2 linked regions of the Macaca mulatta genome follow. The protein of the gene in region 1 binds, or shares a complex with, the protein of each later gene. Links are inferred from orthologs where the notes say so. Each region holds a gene or a part of one and is shown in the gene's direction. Other genes may lie near its edges.

Region 1 (10,274 bases):
GCCCCTCCCCACGGGAGCTCCGATTAGACGCTCAGGTGTGTTGTCAAAGTGTCCGGCTGGCAAGGCCCCTGGGCCGGCAAAGTGAGACCCAGAGGCAAGCCCACTGCTGCCCACCACAACCATCCAGCCCCGCCGGGCTGTGACATACCTGGGCTGGCCACAGGAAAGAGGCCAGGCGCTGCTCAGGGCCCCTGAAGGCTGACCAGTGGGCAGGCAGGCGGTGGGTGCGACCAAGGCAGCCCCAAGCTCTGCGGAAGGAAAGACGGGCAGAGTGGAGCCCTGGCTTCCATCCTCAGCACAGCCAGAGATGCTCCTAGACAAGGGCAGGGAACACCCACCTGGGGCCAGGTCCCTACAGGGCAGAGGGGCAGTCGGGGGTGGGCAGGGGGATACACCACCAGACTCGGGGGAGAAGACCACTGAGGAGTAGCCCCAACCAGGAGAGCTTTGAATCAATGACTGAGTCACCAAATTCTGCCCGTTCAGGCCTCTGAGACAGCCAGGCAGGGACACAGGCTCACTCACAGAGACACGGTGTGCAGAGAACACATGTTCAAAGACATATACTCACAGCACAGGGACATGCAGAGACACAGGCCAAGGCACACGCTTGCACCCACACAGACACGCAGCAGTGCCTCCCCGCTGGGGTCCCAGACCCCTGGTCCAGCCTGCTGTCTGCTTCCTGCCAGGCAGGAGCACTCCCACCCCACCCTGCCTTGGGCTCTGAGCAGACACCCCAGCTCAGGAAGGGGGCCTCGCGCCCTCCCCATGGAGCTGTCAGCAAGGACCCTCAAGGCCCTCCTCCACCATGGGTTGGGGAGTCTGTCCTCCTCCTGCCACTCATGGATTTCTGGCCAGGGAGAAGCCCCAAACTCACCTGGGCAGCCAAACGCAGTGCCCAGCACTCCCTGCCCTGCTGGCTCCACCCCGCAACATCTCGCCCCTCAGACCCGGCTCTCTGGAGTGAGGTAACTGTCCTTCCAGTAGCCCAAGGGCAGGAGGAACCATAGAGGCTCCAACCCAACCCTGGCTGAGCGAGGGCCCCGAGACAGACACCCAGAGCTCTGCAGGTTGGAAAACCCCAGGGGACTGAGCTGCAAGGAGACCTCGGACACCCACGAAGCCAGAGGGAGGTCCCCCCCCAAGAGAGGCCTGCCCATGCGACAGAGCAGCCTGTCTGCAGTAGCCTGGGTGCCAGGCCAGTGGAGCGGCCTCTCTGAGCCCCAGCAGCAGGGCAGCAGCTCAGTCCTGGCCCAGCCCAGAGCCTGGGGTCGCCACACAGCCCAGCAGGGGCAGCTCAGGACAGACAGCAGAGCCAAGCCCACACACCCTGACTCCCCAGGCTCACAGGCTCTGAGGTAGCTTTGAGGAAGCAGGGAGGCCCGCCAACACAAACAGCTTATGCTGTGGGCTTCCTGGCTGCCTCAGCCCCTGTGGGGCCCCAGTGCCCGTCCCAGGCCCTCACCCTGGGCGGGGGGGTCCCAAGCAAGCTAGCACCCCCTCATGCATACAAGGAGCAGGGACTGGGGGCTGCACACAGAGTCTGGGTGGGACTAGGCCTCTCCCACCCAAACCTGAGCCCTGGAGGCTGGAGACACCACTCTGATCCCCCCACCAGCCCCAGGGGAGGGACAGACCGTCCAGAGGTTCCCCAGTCTTTCCTCCCAGGACCACCGAGGCCAACCCCACACTCCAGGCCTTCCCCGTAACCCTCCCCTGCACTGTTGGTATTTCTCTTCTGGGAGTTGGGGGTGAAAGCAACACACTTAGGACCCTGGGTGGGGGGCACCTTCCCACAACCCCCAGGCTCCAGGAGCAGCCGCACCTCAGGTGCCATCCCACCACAGCCCGGGCCCTGACCCGTGCAACCTAGACCCCTACAGAACAGTCTGGGGGGCACATCAGGCCTGGGCAGCTGCATGGCAGGCAGTGACATTCCCAAATGCCACCAGCCCAGGCATGTGAGTGGTTAGGCTGGGGCCAGTTCAGCCTTGGCCCCATCTACAGACCCCACTGCTCAAAATGCTGATCTCCCAGGACTGCAGGGAGGACGCGGACGTTGTGGGTACGGCAAGCAGTGGCCTTGGCTGTGTGCACCGCTGAGGTGTCGGGCACGTGTGCTCGTGACGCCGTGTGCACCCATCCCACCCCACAACATCCTCAGGGTGAGCACACATCTGTCCCAGCCATGGACAGGGCCAAGGGGCACAGGTGTGGGGGCGAGGCTGCGGACACACACCATGATCACCCTCTCCCAGCCAAAGGCCATGCCTGGTCTCAGTGGCAGGAGGGATGCAGCCCTCCTGGTGGGCAGTTTCTGGTCCCACCTGAGCTTCACAGATAGGGAAACACGGGCTGTGATCCCAGACCAGAGTGCAAGTTCAGCTGAATCCCAGCGAGGGCGCAGCCCGTGCTCCCCCCTCCCAGCCCTCCCGGTCCCGTGGCTGGCCTGTTTCCAGGGCAACACCCGGGGTGGGAGGGGCTCAGCAGCTAAAACTTCAATCATGGGTTTCCCCTGGTCACTTGCCCTGAAGTGACCCCTCCTCTAGCAGGAAGCGCTTGGGGGAGCCCACCCTCCGCTCCCTGTGCCCTGTGCTGACCACAGGAGGCTCCACAACGCCCCCTTCTATGAAACCAGTGCCTCGCCTCCTGGCCCCATCCCAGGCCCTCCCCAGAAGCCAGGCCGGGTCTGTACCAACACTCCACACCCAGGAGAGAGGGGCCCCCACCGGCCCCTGCTGGCCAGCACAGTGCCCTGCCCCCCCAGGAGGCTCCCTCCCACCCCCGCTAGCCTGAGGAGGGTCGGGCCCAGGCCCCAGGCTGTTCCGCCCCACACGCTCTCAGGGGGACGCACCAGCCAGGGCTGAGGCAGGCCCAGGCTCCCCAGGGTCCTCAGGTATAGCCCCGTCAGGGCTGAGGACAGGCCTGGGCTCCCCAGCGGCCTCCACACACATGTGGTGGGGACTCGGGGGAGGGGCACAGAGCCTGAGGCTGGGGCAGTCTCCAGGTCTCAGGGGCTCTGCTAGGAAATGGAGGGATAGGAAGCTTACACACTTGGAATTCCAAGAATGTCAGCTTGGCCCAAGCCAGGATTTGGAGGGCAGCTTACTCTCCCCGCCCCGTGCTCCGAGTAAACAACTCCTGCAGGCAGGAACAGGCGCAGGACAGGCCCTGGACCCTCCTCCAGGAAGCCTCCGGGCCCCCACCCACTCCCCAGGGCCCACCCTGCTAACATCCCGGACCCCCCTTCCTCCCTCACCTCCACAGCCACCAGCAGCCTCTGCAGCTGAGCCTGGCTCTGACCCCAGGCCACCGTTACTCACGGCCCCTGTCCTGCCCCTCTGCCAGAGCAGGATGTGCGTCCACTCATCCTGGGGGGAGGGGGTCAGGGAAGGGAAGTGGCCTCCGCTCGTGGCTCTGCACGTGGCTGGGTGGGGTATGACAAACGCCACTGGGGAAGCTGCCCAGGGCCCTGGCCAGGTTGGGAGCAGAAATCCCAAGTGTGCAGTGGATCTGGCCAGCACCACTCTGGATCCAGAAAACCCTTCATCCTCCTCCCCTGCAACTAAGGCAGACCCAGCATTGCCCTGAGAAAGCGGCAGCTGATGCCTGGAACCCAGCACAGGTCCCACCCCAGCTGGAAGCCCCAGCCCAGAGCCCCCCCATGGGTGCCACTTTGCAGCCCACCCACCCCCCCACAGCCTACCTGGCACCTCCAAGGAGTCTTCTTTGCCTCCTACTGCACACCGACCCCCCATTTCCTCACCCCCACCCTAGGGGCACAGCAAGGAGGGTGCTGGTGCCAGCCCCCCCGCACTCCATCCGAGAGACACGGGCTCCCCCTCCCTCGTCCTCCGTAGGCCCTGAGCTCCAGGGCAAGGCAGAGCTGCGGCCTTCAGCGGGTCCTGCCAGTGCAGCCTCCGGGAGTCTGCCCAGGGGTCCCCTGTGCCGGGGTCTTCAAGGTTCAATTCAAAGAGCACCTCTTCCACGACGCCCTCCCCGACCTCCCTCCCGGGCCCCCTCTCCCCGTGCTCAGAGGCGCGTCTCAGCGTCGGGACGGCCAGCAGCCCAGCAGAGCCGGGACCGGGGAGGGCGCACCCCGACCCCCTTCCTGGGAAGGAGCGGAAAGAACGCGGACAGGAGGCCGGGGCGGGGAGCAGCCGGCGGGGGCCGTAACTGCGCGGCCGAGGCCAGGACGGCGCTCCTAGGGGCTGGGCCGCGTCCAGAATGGGACCCCCGAACTCGGCGCCGAGAGCCCCGGACACCCCGCGAGTAGAGGCGGAGGCGGAGGGACCCACTACCCGGCGGGGCCAAGAGGGGCAGCAGGAAGACCCGCCCCGGTCCGCGCCCGCCCTCTCCCCAAGCCCCCGCGCCGGACCCCACTTGTTGCTGCGTGTCGGCTCTAGGCTCGAACTCGCGCGCCCCGCTCGCGTCCGGCTCCAGCCGCTCCCGGTCGGACACCTCGGGCCGCGAGACCCTGGCCGCACGCCCCCACGACCCCCCGGGCGCTCTACCTGCGCCGCCGCCTCCCGCTCGCTTCGTCCGCTCCCTCCGCGCAGCTGTCAGTCAAGCGGACACGAGAAACGCGAACCGCCACCGCGGCTTTCGGCCCTGCTCAGACGCCGTAGCTCCGGGACGCACCAAGATGGTGGGCGGGGGTGTGTCGTCTGTTGCTGCCGCGGCCGTGCAGGCCCAGGAGCCCCGGGCCGCATGGGGAATCCCCATGGCGGCGGAAACTGCGGCCAGCTGCGCCGGGGCCAGTGTATGAACGGCTGGGGCAGCGGAGAACGAGCGGAGCCGGTCCCCCCGCGATAGTGGACGCGCCCGGGGCGGGGCCTGGGGGGAGTGCTTCCCGTGCGGCCGGACCGGGCCGGGCAGTCTGGGACGCGCCGCCGCCATGATCATTCCTGTACGGTGTTTCACTTGCGGCAAGATCGTCGGCAACAAGTGGGAGGCCTACCTGGGGCTGCTGCAGGCCGAGTACACTGAGGGGTGAGGCGCGGGCTGGGGCCGGGGCTGGGGGCTGAGTCCGCCCTGGGGTGCGGGCCGGGGCGGGAGGCGCAGCGCTGCCTGGGGCCGGCGCTCCATGAGCAGCTTCATACCCGGCCACTCCGGCCCAGCTCTGTGATCTGCTTTCGGGAGAACATTGTCCCCTGAAGTCTGGGGAGAGAACGGAGTTGGGCTTCAAACCAGTGGTGTCCTGGGGATTCTAGGTGGCCTGGCGGGTGGCAGGCGTCTTGTCACCCGCAGTAAAGCCCTTGGTCTCCGTCCTAATCTCTCGTCTCTGCTCCCAGACCCACCCCATGTCCTGCAAACCTCGCTGCAGGACGGGCGGGCGCGGCGGCTCACGCCTGTAATCCCAGAAGTTTGGGAAGCCGAGGCGAGAGGCTTGCTTGAGCCCAGGAGGTCGAGACCAGCCTGGACAACCTGGGGAGACCCTGATCTCCAGAAATTTTTTCTTTTTTTTTTTTTTTTTGGGGACGGAGTCTCGCTCTGTCGCCCAGGCTGGAGTGCAGCGGCGCGATCTCGGCTCAGTGCAACCTCTGCTTCCTGGGCTCCAGGAATTCTCCCCAGTCGCCGGGACTACAGGCGTGTCCACGCCCGGCTCATTTTTGTATTTTTAGTAGAGATAGGAGTTCGCCATGTTGGCCAGGCTGGTCTCGAACTCCTGACCTCAGGTGATCCACCTGCCTCGGCCTCCTGGAGTGCTGAGATGACAGGTGTGAGCCACCGCCCCTGGCCCTCTTATCTTTTTAATTCCCCGGACTTGGTGGTGCACACCTGTGGTCCCAGCTACTTGGAAGGCTGAGGCGAGAGAATCGCTTGAGGCTGGGAGGCAGGTGAAGATTTCAGTGAGCCGAGATCACGCCACTGCACTCCAGCCTGGATGAGAGAGTGAAACTCCGTGTCACGCACACACACACACACACACACACACACAGAAAAAGAAATGCAGGGCAGACTTGCTGACCACCCTCATCATCGGGCTTTGTGGGGGAGGCATCCTTCTCCTGTGCTTGTCCCTCGGTGCTGCTGTCACCACCGTGCCTGAGTCTTGGTGCCCCTGCTGGAGTCTGACCCTTGCCTGCTGAGTCCTGGTCACATGTGAAACCCCAGGCTCGTGTGTGCCAGCCTGCCATAGGCTCTCAGTGCAGCTTGCTGGACGAATGAGTAAAGCGAGTGGGCTGCCAGAGTGAGTGGCTGGTGGCCTGTCCAGACCCTTTCCCAGGGATATGAACTGCAGGGGCCTCCCATGTGGCCTCCCCTTTCCCAAGCTTCTCTCTCTGCACATTGGAGCCATCAGTGTGGGAGTTTTCTGGAAGTATTGATGGTGACTGGACCTTGGTCCCAGGGAAATTAAAGCTTCTAATTGGCTTGGGAAATGGGAGAGGTGGCTCCCTGGAGAAGCAGTCTCTCCCTGATTGAAGGAAGCAGAGGTGAGAAAAGACGCCACAGTGGCAGAGTAGGGCTTGCTCTGGGGTGGGGGATGAACCAGCTAAGGGCAGGCCCCTGGAGAGCTACCCTGCTGTGGCTGGTGCGGGATGAGGGGAGCTGCGCATCAGGACCTCGGTGGCCTTGGTTTTCTATGCTCCCCCAATTACCTCTAGTTTTCGTTTCATTTATATTTCTTACATATGTTAGACACACATATGTACAGCCAGAGTAGGTGGGAGAGAAGGCTCCTCACGCTCCACCCAGGGATCTGGGCATTGCCAGGTTACTCCAACCAGGATCATACCCCTAGGTCTCTACTTCTCATCCAGGTGAATGTGTTCGCCTTGCCGGTAGCAGGGGAGTGAGGCCAGCAGGCAGTGAGAGGCGGCCTGGATGTGGGCTCCAGGCCTGTGCAGACCGTGGAGAACTCAGCTGGCCTCTCTGTTCCTCCCCTCGCTTGACACAGGGATGCGCTGGACGCCCTGGGCCTGAAGCGCTACTGCTGCCGCCGGATGCTGCTGGCCCACGTGGACCTGATCGAGAAGCTGCTCAATTATGCACCCCTGGAGAAGTGACCAGGCTGGAATCCGCCTACCTGCCATGCTGACCATGGGCCATGAGCATCCTGCCCCAAGTTCACAAGGCTGAGGCATCCAGGAGCTGGCGCAATGCCTCGCCACAGCGTGTGTGTGTCCCATCCCCCACTCTGGAAGGAACAATCCAGTAAAGGTCTTTCAGAACTACCAAGGTCCCAGCCCTCACTAGGATGTCAGGGGCCAGGACTAGGCCCAGCTCTCACACCGCGGCAGCCCAGGGAAGCCGACTGGGCCATGAATTCTCCTAGCCCTGGGGCCAGCCTGTTCCACAGGTACCCCTGCAGGAGGTGCTGCCAGGAGAGCCTTCCATCTCAGGGCTGAGGTTCCCTCCTTCTGGGTGCTCTTCAGACTGAGCAGAGGCTCCTGTACTCTCTCTCTTGGAATCTGAAGAGCCAGATTTAGGCCAGGCACGGTGGCTCACCCCTATAATCCCAGCACTTTGGGAGGCCAAGGCGGGTGGATCACGAGGTCAGGAGATTGAGGCCATGCTGGCTAACACGGTGAAACCCCGTCTCTACTAAACATACAAAAAAAAAAAAAACAGCCAGGTGAGGTGCCGGGCGCCTGTAGTCCCAGCTACTCGGGAGGCTGAGGCAGGAGAACTGCTTGAACCCGGGAGGGGGAGCTTGCAGTGAGCCGAGATTGCGCCACTCACTCCAGCCTGGGTGACAGTGAGACTCCATCTCAAAAAAAAAGAAAAAAAAGAACCAGATCGTCTGGGGCCCAGTCTTTGCTATGGTCACGGATGCCAGCACCTGCTGGCCCCTGCCCACTGCTGGCTGTCCCTGAGGGTCCCACCCGAGTCTAGCAGGGAGGGCAGGCCTTAAGACACCCCTAGCTGGCTTGGGAGGCGGCCCTAAGGAGGCCCTGCTGTCCAGGCAGTGCTGCCAGCAAGCACCCCAGGTCAGATGGCCCTGCTGCTGAGATACCTGGCGTGGTGCCCTCTGGTGGGGGAGAATGGGTCTGCCTGAGGGTCTTCAGTTCTGAGCCTTAGGGACAGGAGCCTGGGCAGTGGGGGGTACAATCAGTGACTGAACCCTGGCTCCCGTCTCCAGGGTACCTCTGCCAGACACCAGGCTCTGGTATCTCCCATCCGTGCCCCCAGCAGGGCCTATAGGCTCTACCATGTAAACCCCCTCACCCTACTGCCCCCACCCATCTGCCTGACGCCTCTTACCTGGGCACAGCCCCCAGTGTGCACCCTTCCCATGTCTGCTCCCCCCCATGACCAGAAGGGTCTTTGGAAACCATTTTTCCTCTCCCCCAGGGGCTCTGAACACACCACCATCTCACCATTTAGAAACATGATCAGTTCTTTCTGCTGTGAGACCTGTGCTTGGCTGTCCCTGGCATCAGACCTCCCTTCCCTGGAGCCCCATGGGGGCTGTGTCCTGGCTCTGCCCTTCTTTGTCCTGACACTGCAAGGAGGGGTCTGTCTACCCTGCTGGACGTGATGGGCCCTGAGAACAGACCATCTCACCAGCACAGCGGGCTCGTCCATCTGCCCCAGAAGTGTTTATTGAGCACCTGTATGTGGCAGGGATGATTGTAGGCATCTGGGTACAGCAGTGAACAAAACTGGGAGGCCCCTGCCCCACACAGGCACATGGATGGGGCAGTGCACAGTGACCATGTGGCATTTCGGGTGGTGGTGACCGCGGTGGGGAAGACAGCAGGGGCTCTGAGGGAGACGAGGCCTGGGTGGGGAGGGGCAGAGGCCCAGGCCCAAGGGTCAGACCTTACTCAGTTTCTCTGACTGGGATGGGGCCATGTGGCTGCAAGGCAAAGCCCCAATCCCTGAAGGGCCTGGGGTGTGAAGGGCTTCTCCCCCTGCTGGGAACACTCGGCCTTGCCCTACTCAGCAAGGCCCCTTCCAGCCTGCATCTGACCACCAGGCAGAATGTGTTCAGGCAGCCCCACAAAACACCCCCGATACCGTCGTCCCGCCAGCCCCCCTTACTTCCCTGCTGGGCTTTGGTGTGCAGCGAAAGGCACTTGAAGCTGCCTCTGGGGTTGGGGTCCCCAGAGGTTATGGTGATGGCACAGGGTGGGTGTCATCAGGGAGCCCAACCCCTGGCACTTAGTAGTCTCAGCTCAGTAGTTGGGTGCAGCAGCAGCAAGGCACAGAGAGCCGCAGCCAAGCCCAGGGCAGGGTCAGTAGTGCTCCAGCTTGAGGCTCCTGTATAGGCAGCATGTGAAGATCATGCCAAAGACCTGTGTGCAGAGCCAGGCGGGCATAAGTAGACGCCGTGGGGCCAGCAACCACCGCCCTGCCTCATGTCCCCGACAAAATACCCGTCACCCCGCGTGCCCTCACCTGCACACAGGCAATGCCGGTCCCCACAGCCCCAATGACCCTGAGGTGCTCCTGGATGAAGGTCTCCAACTTGGTGATGCAGCCGCCCTGCGGGGCGCAGATGGGTGCTGAAGGTGGGCCCAGGGGGCACTTCCCACTGGCCCCCACCACCTCCAGGGTGTGGCCATGCCCACCCCTAGCACCTACGCAGCCAGGCCACTGACAGCTCAGCCAGCCACTGGGCTGCCCACCCACCACCTCCTAAGATACCGGAGGCGTGGTCTCACTGCCCACATCTGGCCACTGGGCTGCCCACCCACCTCCCGTAGATGTTGGAGGCGTGGTCTCACTGCCCACATCCGGCCACTGGGGTGACCCACCTCCTCATAGATACTGGGGTGCCCCCATACCTTCTCATAGATACTGGAGGCCCCCATACCTTCTCATAGATACTGGAGGCCCCCCACACTTCCTCATAGATACTGGAGGTATGGTTCCGCTGCCCACCCACCTCCACCTTGTAGATGTTGGAGGCATGGTCCCGCTGCCCACAACCAGCCACCACCGTCTTGCAGCAGCTGTCGGGGACGACGCGGCCACCGGCCTCCCCTGAGCGGATCCACTCACTGTCCCGCCAGTCCTGTGAGTTGTTGCTGCCACAGCAGTGGAACTGCATCAAGAACAAGGCTCAGGGTGAGACCTGGGACCAGAGGCTCCTGCACAGGTCCAGGGAGGCCCTGGGGATGCATGCACCCTCCCAGCACCACCCACCCACCCACCTCCTGCTGCAGCTGGTCCACAGCGCTGGTCACGGCCTGGTGACCCGGCTGGTGGTAGCGCTTGGCCATGGTGTCCTTAAGGTTCTCCTTGAGCTCTGTGTTCAGCTGGGGTTTGGGGTACAAGAAACTTCAGTCTCAGTCTAAGACCTTCCAAGGTGGGGCTGG
Region 2 (9,635 bases), on another chromosome or scaffold:
AGCTGGGACTACAGGCACGCACCACCACGCTCAGCTAATTTTTTTATTTTTTGTAGAGACGGGATTTCACCCTGTTGCCCAAGTTGGTCTTGACTTCTGGGCTCAAGTGATCCACTCACTTCGGCCTCCTAAAGTGCTGGGATTACAGGTATAAGCCACCATGCCCGGCCCACCCAAGAGTTTTTGGTTTATTAAGTTTACAAATAAAACCAGTAATGTACTGTATTTGAGATCACAGAGGACAGAATTTCCTTTAGTGTATCTACACATGCATTCATGGTGTACTTTATCCTTAGCCTCAGTGGTTAGTGATTTGCCTGCTAGCTGGGGTGAGCACCCAAGGAAGTAGGGCTTTTACCATGGCTGAGTGTGGATGAGTAGTATTCCATGGGGCATAAGACTGGCAGCGACAGCCATGGCCGTGGGACAGGTTTGTTAAACTCTGTTTTTGTTGAAAACAGGTGTTGAGAGAGAAAAGAATTCCTCCCTGGATGGAAGTGGTCCTCATACCCATGACAGGAAAACCAAGTCTATACCCAGGATTGTTCCTTTTTACTACTCCTTGTAGACTGGTACGGCCTGTGCAGAACTTGGAATTGGGCAAAGAAGAGCTAATTGGAACTATGGAACAGGTAAATACATGTGTGATGGATGAGTGTATGTGCTTGTTTGTATAGTATACAACTTTCAGAGACTTAACTCTTCCTTTTTAAATGAAGGGGTGGCCTGCCCCTCCACACCTGTGGGTGTTTCTCGTTAGGTGGAACGAGAGACTTGAGAAAAGAAATAAGACACAGAGACAAAGTATAGAGAAAGAAAAGCGGGGCCCAGGGGACCGGCGCTCAGCTTACAGAGGACCCACGCCGCCCCGGTCTCTGAGTTCCCTTAGTATTTATTGATAAGTATCTTTACCATCTTAAAGACAGGGGAGTGGCAGGACAATATAAACAAAGAAAAAAGAGGAAATCGGCAGTAAGACATATGAACAAAAACCTCTGTGACATGAATAAGTTCAAAGGACAAAGCTGTGCCGTGAGATGCATATGCAGACATCTCCCTAAACCTTTTGGCAGCATAGTTTCAGTCTATCACATGGGGAGAAACCTTAGACAATACCTAGCTTATCTAGGAACAAAGTCACACCCTGCACGCCCAAAATCCATTAAACCTTGAGTTACCACAGCACATGTCTCTTGCAAGGACAAGGTTGGGGGTAGGGTCACAGACTAACAGCATCTCAAATACAGAACAAAATGGAGTCTCTTATGTCTACTTCTTTCTATATAGACACAGTAACAGGCTGATCTCTTTCTTTTCCCCACATTAAAAGGGTTGTTAGTGTTACAATAACAGTTGGACATTTGAAAGAAAGTCAGACTTACCACCTCCTCCGTGACCAGCACAAAGCAGTTCCCATGTCTGATCTCACTCCACAAGAACCTGAGAGGGTTGGTGGTCACATTACCTGCCTTCCATCCTGTCTGGCTCCCAGAGCTCCTTTGTACCTGACTCTGCCTCAGCTGGCGAAGTGAAAACATTCCATTAGATGCACACTCAGTCTTTGCCTACATATTTGCAGTTGCAAAGTTATAGGCTTTGTGCTACTTAAAATTTTTTCTTCCTATTCCCCTTCACAATTGGTCTGGGGTAGATTTAGAGTGGAATATGTAAAGCAAGTGGTATTTCTAAGTGGTCACTTCCCTGTGCTTCCCAGTTGATCCCTTCAGCACTCATGATGCTGGGCGGGGAAGGTTTTCTCTTGAGTCTTTGAGTGCTGAACTCTGAGAAATGGTAAGAGTTAATGTGTAAGCAGTTGCAGTTATTTTGTGCCTTGGACATCTGCTCTTCCAGATCTTCATGAATGTCGCTATCTTTGAGGATGAGGTTTTTGCTGGAGTTACCACACACCAGGAACTCTTTCCACACAGCCTGCTGAGTGTGATTGCCAACTTCATCCCTTTCTCTGACCACAACCAGAGTCCACGGAACATGTACCAGTGCCAGATGGGTAAGGAAGAGGGACGATGTTATAGTCACAATCAGGAAAGTAAACTTGATACTAGCATAGTCTTTTGTAGTCCTCATTTACATATGCTGACCATTTGTTCCAAAAATATGGCTTATGGCAAGTTTTTTTTTTTTCTGTGCCACAAGCAACCAGTCCAGGATCACTCATTGTATTTAGTTGGCATGTCTATTTAGTCTCCTGTAATTTATGACAGATCTTTAACCATTCTGTGTCTTTGACATTGACATTTTTGAAGAAAAAGGTATAGAATGTCCATAGATTTGGGTGTGCCTGGGGTCTTATTACTTGATTTTTTGAAGAATACAAGCAATCATAGTCACCCACGTATTTATCACTTCCAGTTCTCTTCATTCCTGTTGCAAGATTCAGGTTTTCATTGCTTACAGTTTTCCTTCAGCCTGATAATCTTCCTTTAGCATTTTTTTATATTGCAGGTTGCTGGCCACAAATTCTGTTGGTTTTCATTTATCTGAAAATGTCTTTATTTTACTTCACTTGAAGGAATCTTTCACTGGGTATACAGTTCTGAGTTGACAGTTCTTTTTCTTCCAGCACTTAAAAGTTGTTGTTACACTGGCTTTTCTTTGTCTCTGTCATTTCTAGTTAGAAAGCAGCAGTCTTCTGAATATAGTGTTTCTTTTTTTTTTTTTTTTTTTTTGAGACAGAGTGTTGCTCCATCGCCTAGGCTGGAGTGCAGTGGTATGATCTCGGCTCCCTGCAACCTCTGCCTCCTGGGTTTAAGTGATTCTTCTGCCTCAGCCTCCCAAGTAGCTGGGACTACAGGCACTCACCACCATACCCAGCTAATTTTTGTATTTTTAGTAGAGACGGGATTTCACCATGTTGGCCAGGCTGGTCTTGAACTCCTGACCTCAGGTGATCTGCCCACTTTGGCCTCCCAAAGTGCTGGATTACAGGCGTGAGCCACCGCGCCCGGCCCCAAATTTGTTTTTTTGTTTTTTTGTTTTTAAATTAAATTGCTAAACTCTTCTGTCATTATTTTTAAAAACATTGCTCCTACCCTTTTCTCTCTTTCCTCCCCTTCTGAGATATCAGTTACTCATATATTTAAACCTTTTGATATTGTTCCATAAGACATTGAGTTTCTGTTCTCTTTTTTTCTTTATTTTCTTCAGATTGGATCTTTTAATTTCTTTTTTTTTTTTTTTTTTTCCCTAAGATGGAGTCTCACTTTGTTACCTAGGCTGGAGTGCAGTGGTGCGATCTCGGCTCATTGCAACCTCTGCCTCCCATGTTCAATAAATTCTCCTGCCTCAGCCTCCCGAGTAGCTGGGATTGCAGGCACACATCACCATGCCCAGCTAATTTTTGTGTTTTAGTAGAGATGGGGTTTCACCATGTTGGCCTGGCTGGTTTTGAACTCCTGACCTCAAGTGATCTGCCTGCCTCAGCCTCCCAAAAACGCTGGGGTTACAGGTGTGAGCCACTGTGCCTGGCCCAGATTGAATTATTTTTATTGACCTATTATCACAGTCACTTTTCATTCTGTCTTCTACTGAATTTTCGCCTACAGTCATATACCCTTAACGACAGGGATACATTTGGAGAAGGGAGTCGTATGTGATTTTGTCGTAGTGTGAACATCATACAGTGAACTTACATAAACCTAGATGGCAGAGACTACTACACACCTAATATATGGTATAGCCTGTTGTTCCTAGGCTACAAACCTGGGTGGCATATAACTGTACTGTGTGCTGTCGACAGCTGTAAGACAATGGCAAGGATTTGTGTAGCTAAATATAGAAAAGATACAGTAAAAATGTGGGATCACCATAGTATATATGCCATCCTACATTGACTAAAACATTGTTATGCAGTGTATGACTGTATTTTCAAGTCCAGCACTTCCACTTGTTTCTTTTTTTTTTTTTTCTTTTTTTGAGACAGGGTATCGCTGTGTCACCCACCTGGAGTGCAGTGGCATGATCTTGGCTCACTGCAACCTCTGCCTCCCCAGTTCAAGCGATTCTTCTGCCTTCACCTTCTGAGTAGCTGAGATTACAGGCATGTGCCACCATGCCCAGCTAATTTTTTGTATTTTTAGTAGAGACAGGGTTTTATCATGTTGTTCAGGCTGGTCTCAAACTCCTGACCTCAAGTGATCTGCCCGCCTCAGCCTCCCAAAAGTGCTGGGATTACAGGTGTGAGCCACTGCGCCTGGCCTGACTTGTTTCTTTTTTTATAGTTTCTCTTTTCTCTAAGATTTCTTATCTTCATTGTGGGCATGTTTTCCTTTATATTTTTAGCATAGTTTTATATGATGGGTGTTGTAAAGTCATTATCTGCAGATTCCAATGTCTGGGTCATCTCAGGATCAGTCTCCTTGAGTATAAGTCAAGTTTCACCATTCATTTGTATGCCCAGTAATACTGGATTGTATTATGAACGTTGTGAGGAATATGTTTTAAACCCTGGATCCTGTTAGGGTCCTCTGAAGAGGATTGGTTTTGTTTGTTTTTAGTGTGGTGTTTGGCCTTCAATTACATTTTAATGTTTTTCATTTTACGTCTTTCCTTGTTAATACACAGTCCATCACCTGGCTCAGTGCATGTCACCAAAAATTCTCCAGGGGAAGAGGATTGGTTTTTAGTTTTCACTGGTACTTAACTTGGTGAACATGGCAGTTGAAGTACATTCTTCAGCCTTAGGTGGGCTGCTTTGATCTGTCCCATGCATGCATAGTTCAGGAGTCCACCAAAGATTGGGACCCAATTTTACATGCTGATTTTAAGGGTCTCCCTTTGTTCTCTCATTTCTGAAACATTCCCCTTTCCCAATTGTTGTCATGCTCAGAACTCTATTTCTTGGTTCTTCAAGCCAGTAAGACTGTGGGTTTCTATCTAAGTTGTGGCTGCCACACTGGGCCATAAGGCAAAAATATATACATAAATACTTATTCACCCAGTGTGGTTCCTTTCATCCAAGTAAAAATTCTTCCTCAGCTTCTGACAGCTTTTGGTTACTCTCCAGTGCTATATGTGTAGTTGGGGCCTTTTTTCTGCATCTTATACGTATGTGTTGAGGGTGGTCTTGTAAGAGTAGCCCTTTATTACTGGAAGCTCTAAGTTTATAATTTTTTAAAAAAATTTTCACTTGTATGTATTTATATTTTAAAATCATTTTGTTCGGAAATGATTATACTGTGAGGTAGTACACAGAGGAATCTCACCCCATACTCTACTACCTAGAATTAAATACATCTTCCGCTGTAAGAAAGTAATCTAATTCATAATAATTACTGTCCCCTTTTCTCCCCCCAGTAGTGGTATCCTGTAATTCGTGTGCTTCCTTTCTGTCCCCTTGTAAAGCTTTTATTACATCATACATGTATCCATAAACTAGGTATAGAATTGTGTGGGGCGTGTTGCAAATGCACATAAATCTTACATTAAATGTCAGTCTGCACTTTCTCCCGCTCAGCACGGTTTTCCTGGTCTGGTCACATTGATACATTTAGGTTTACTTCATTTTCACAGCTTATGTATTAGTCTAAAGTAAGCATAACTACTATGATTATTTATTCATTCTCCTCTGATGAATATTTAGTTGTTTCCAGTGTTGTGTATCACACCTATAATCAAGATGAAAGAAGCAGAAAATGCTAAGATGTTTTTCTCTGTGTAGGTAAGCAAACTATGGGCTTTCCACTTCTCACTTATCAAGACCGATCAGATAACAAACTGTATCGTCTTCAGACTCCTCAGAGTCCCTTGGTGAGACCCTCCATGTATGATTATTATGACATGGATAACTATCCAATTGGGACCAATGCCATCGTTGCCGTGATTTCTTACACTGGCTATGATATGGAAGATGCCATGGTAAGTTTTACTGGGAAATGTTGTTCCAATCTTTTTATCTTTTAACTCTTTTGTTTACTGTGAAATCACTGAAGGAATATTTTTGTGTACCCAAGTACCTGGTATTTGGCACATGATGTTCTATGAAATGATTAGTTCTTGGTCTAAGTTGAAAGTGGGCAAGCCTTGAGGAGTATCCACTAAATATTCAGATACACATATATCTTGCATATTTGAGTGCATATTATGAGTAAATTTTGAAGAGTTTGGTTTTGGATATATCTACCTTTTATATTTAAGTATGATTAGATTTTAAGCTATTTCTGTGTGCCTGGGTTTTTGTTTTTCTTGGTGTTTTTTGTTTTTTGTGTTTTTTTTGAGCCAGAGTCTTGCTCTATTGTCCAGGCTGGAGTGCAGTGGCATGATCTTGGCTCACTACAACCTCTGCCTTCTGGGTTCAAGCAATTCTCCTGCCTCAGCCTCTCGAGTAGCTGGGACTATAGGCACCCGCCACCACGCCTGGCTGATTTTTTATTTTTAGTAGAGATGGAGTTTCACCATGTTGGCTAGGCTGGTCTCTAACTCCTGACCTCAAGTGATCAGCCTGCCTTGGCCTTCCAAAGTGCTGGAATTACAGGCATGAGCCACTGTGCCTGGCCATGTCTGGATTTTTGTAGTTAGTATCAGTGATTTGGAAAATGTGAGGAGAGTTAAAATGTGATGCCAGTTATCCTAAACCAAGTATTATAGTCCCACCTAGTTTTATTTTGAAAATCCTCACTTGGCCTCAGTCTTTTAAATTAACGATTCTTTTACTTCACAGATTGTGAATAAGGCCTCTTGGGAACGAGGCTTTGCCCATGGAAGTGTCTACAAGTCTGAGTTCATAGACCTCTCTGAAAAAATTAAACAAGGAGATAGTAGCCTGGTGTTTGGAATCAAACCTGGTGACCCACGGATTTTGCAGAAGTTAGATGACGATGGATTGCCGTTTATAGGAGCAAAACTGCAGTATGGAGATCCATATTACAGCTACCTAAACCTCAACACTGGGGAAAGTTTTGTGATGTACTATAAGTAAGTTTGGGTATCCAAGCTGGTTTTTGTTTGTTTTTTGAGATAGGGTCTCAGTGTGTTAGCCAGGCTGGAGTGCAGTGGAGTGATCTCACTCCCTACAACCTCCACCTCCCGGCTCAAGCAATCCTCTCACCTCAGCCTTCAAGTAGCTGGGACTACAGGCACGTACCACCATGCCCAGCTAATTTTTTGTATTTTTAGTAGAGATGGTTTCACCATGTTGCCCAGGAGGGTCTCGAACTCCTGGGCTCAAGTGATCCACCTGCTTCAGCCTCCCAAAGTGCTAGGATTACAGGTGTGAGCCACTGTGCCTGGTCTATTTGTGCTTTTTTTAAAAACTGTATTATACAAACTTTGTCGTCTTTATCATATACAATGTTAGCAATGTTTCCTAGCCAAAATGTTGAGCTCATACCTCTTATTAGAAATGTCTTATTTTAGCTTATTTTACAATATAATTTATTTCAGTAGACCTTCATAATAACTTTTCAGTTGCCTTTGTTGCTAGTTTTCTTTCAGATGAACATAATTCTGTAGTGAATATCACCAATAGCTCTATTCATACCATCTCTGTTTGTATTGGAGAATAAAGGTAAGAATGAGTTTTGCAGGCCAGGCACAGTAGTTCACACCTGCAACCCGACAATTTGGGAGACCAAAATGGGAGGCTCCCTTAAGCCCAGAAGTTCAAGATCAATCTGGGCAATGTAGTGGGACCCTGTCTCTACAAAAAATTTAAAAATTAGCCAAGCCTAGTGGCATGTACCTGTAGTCCCAGCTACTGAGGCGGCTAAGGTGGGAGGATTCCTTGAACCTGGAAAGTCAAGGCTGCAGTGAGCTGTAATCACACCACCCCTCTCCAGCCTGGGCAACAGAGTGAGACCCTGTCTCATAAAAAAAAAAAAAAAATGTGTTTTACAAGTATCTTTTATGAAGCACTAATTATGTCAATGAAACTTACCTCTATAAGTTTAAACAAATAGGTTGACCTTACAGAGTTTACTTTTTCCTAGGAGTAAAGAAAATTGTGTTGTGGATAACATCAAAGTGTGCAGTAATGACACTGGGAGTGGAAAATTCAAGTGTGTTTGCATCACTATGAGAGTGCCTCGGAACCCAACTATCGGAGATAAATTTGCCAGTCGTCATGGGCAGAAGGGCATTTTGAGCAGATTGTGGCCAGCTGAGGACATGCCTTTTACTGAGAGTGGGATGGTCCCAGACATTCTGTTCAATCCCCATGGTTTTCCATCCCGCATGACCATCGGGATGTTAATTGAGAGTATGGCTGGGAAGTCTGCAGCTTTGCATGGTCTCTGCCATGATGCTACACCCTTCATCTTCTCAGAGGAGAACTCGGCCTTAGAATACTTTGGTGAGATGTTAAAGGCTGCTGGCTACAATTTCTATGGCACCGAGAGGTTATATAGTGGCATCAGTGGGCTAGAACTGGAAGCAGACATCTTCATAGGAGTGGTTTATTATCAGCGCTTACGCCACATGGTCTCAGACAAATTTCAAGTAAGGACAACTGGGGCCCGAGACAGAGTCACCAACCAGCCTATTGGGGGAAGAAATGTCCAGGGTGGAATCCGTTTTGGGGAGATGGAACGGGATGCGCTTTTAGCTCACGGTACATCTTTTCTCCTTCATGACCGCCTCTTCAACTGCTCGGATCGGTCAGTAGCCCACGTGTGTGTGAAGTGTGGCAGTTTACTCTCTCCACTGTTGGAGAAGCCACCCCCTTCTTGGTCTGCCATGCGCAACAGAAAATACAACTGTACTCTGTGTAATCGCAGTGACACTATCGATACTGTTTCTGTGCCTTATGTTTTTCGGTATTTTGTAGCTGAATTGGCAGCTATGAACATCAAAGTGAAACTGGATGTTGTTTAACTTGATGTTGACCTTTTGGATTAGGAGGCCTATCAGATTAAAACAAAACGTAATTTTAGTTCAATGAAGATATTATTACCAGGTTACTCTTGAGATTTTTCAAGGGTGTTAGAACTCTCAACCAAGATCTGAAAACCAAGAATGCAAAGTGTGAATCTCGCTGGTAGATTAACTGTTGACAATGATTTTCTGTATATTTGTTCAAAAATCTCATGTCTTCTCAAAATATGAAATATTGATAAATGGAAGAACATACAGGTTCCCTACACCCTGCTTTCAGCAGGCAGTGACTGTCACACACCTGTTAATCCATCTTGAGCAGGACAGTACTATACAAATAGAATGCAAGCTGTAACGTAATTTTATATTTTCTTATAGCAACATTGAAGTAAAAACAAACAGTTACAGTGTTTTTTGCCAGCTTTATAGAAGTACAGTTGTTACATATGTAATGAATACAGTTTGATGGGTTAGACTATATGTACACACCTTTGATACCATCACCACAATCAGGGTAATAAACATATCTGTCATCTCCACAAGTTTCCTCCTGCCCCTTTGTTTTTTGCTTTTTGGTTGCTGTTGAGTTTTTGTTTTGTTTTCTGTGGTAAGAACACGTAACTCAAGACCTACCCTCTTAACAAATCTTTAAGTGTACAATACACTATTGTTAATTATAGGCACCATGTTGTACAACAGATCTTTAGACCTTGCTTGTCTTGCATAACTGAAGCTTTATACCTGTTGAACAACTCTCCATTTCCCTAGCCCCTAGCAACCACCCTTCTACCCTGTTTCTACAAGTTTGA

Evidence for each region. The genes of interacting proteins can lie anywhere in the genome.
Region 2: the proteins of POLR2L (region 1) and POLR1B are in contact, whole or in part, in a cryo-EM structure (PDB 7OBA), measured with the Homo sapiens proteins. The link is inferred for Macaca mulatta from reciprocal best matches to the Homo sapiens genes POLR2L and POLR1B. Residues at the interface, in NP_066951.1 of Homo sapiens: Met1, Ile2, Pro4, Arg6, Cys7, Phe8, Thr9, Cys10, Gly11, Trp18, Tyr21, Leu22, Leu25, Gln26, Glu31, Gly32, Arg42, Tyr43, Cys44, Arg46, Arg47, Met48, Leu50, Ala51, His52, Val53, Asp54, Leu55, Glu57, Lys58; in NP_061887.2 of Homo sapiens: Leu16, Leu19, Thr20, Asp21, Pro22, Tyr24, Gly25, Pro27, Ile157, His160, Glu161, Glu162, Ala163, Phe698, Leu701, Thr702, Arg713, Gln715, Thr716, Pro717, Gln718, Ser719, Leu721, Asp733, Asn734, Pro736, Asn740, Ala741, Ile742, Asn760.

Annotation. Positions count from the first base shown.
Region 1 is NC_133419.1:731,582-741,855, reverse strand, and holds POLR2L (DNA-directed RNA polymerases I, II, and III subunit RPABC5), read left to right. Parts: upstream 1-4,873; 5' UTR 4,874-4,900; coding exon 4,901-4,995; intron 4,996-6,904; coding exon 6,905-7,013; 3' UTR 7,014-7,286; downstream 7,287-10,274. Other genes in the region: CD151 antigen, read right to left, coding at 9,189-9,248, 9,352-9,438, 9,842-10,000, 10,110-10,214. UniProt on the Homo sapiens protein: DNA-dependent RNA polymerase catalyzes the transcription of DNA into RNA using the four ribonucleoside triphosphates as substrates.
Region 2 is NC_133418.1:22,648,855-22,658,489, forward strand, and holds the end of POLR1B (DNA-directed RNA polymerase I subunit RPA2), read left to right. Parts: intron 1-461; coding exon 462-632; intron 633-1,851; coding exon 1,852-2,008; intron 2,009-5,677; coding exon 5,678-5,874; intron 5,875-6,676; coding exon 6,677-6,930; intron 6,931-7,943; coding exon 7,944-8,826; 3' UTR 8,827-9,374; downstream 9,375-9,635. UniProt on the Homo sapiens protein: Catalytic core component of RNA polymerase I (Pol I), a DNA-dependent RNA polymerase which synthesizes ribosomal RNA precursors using the four ribonucleoside triphosphates as substrates.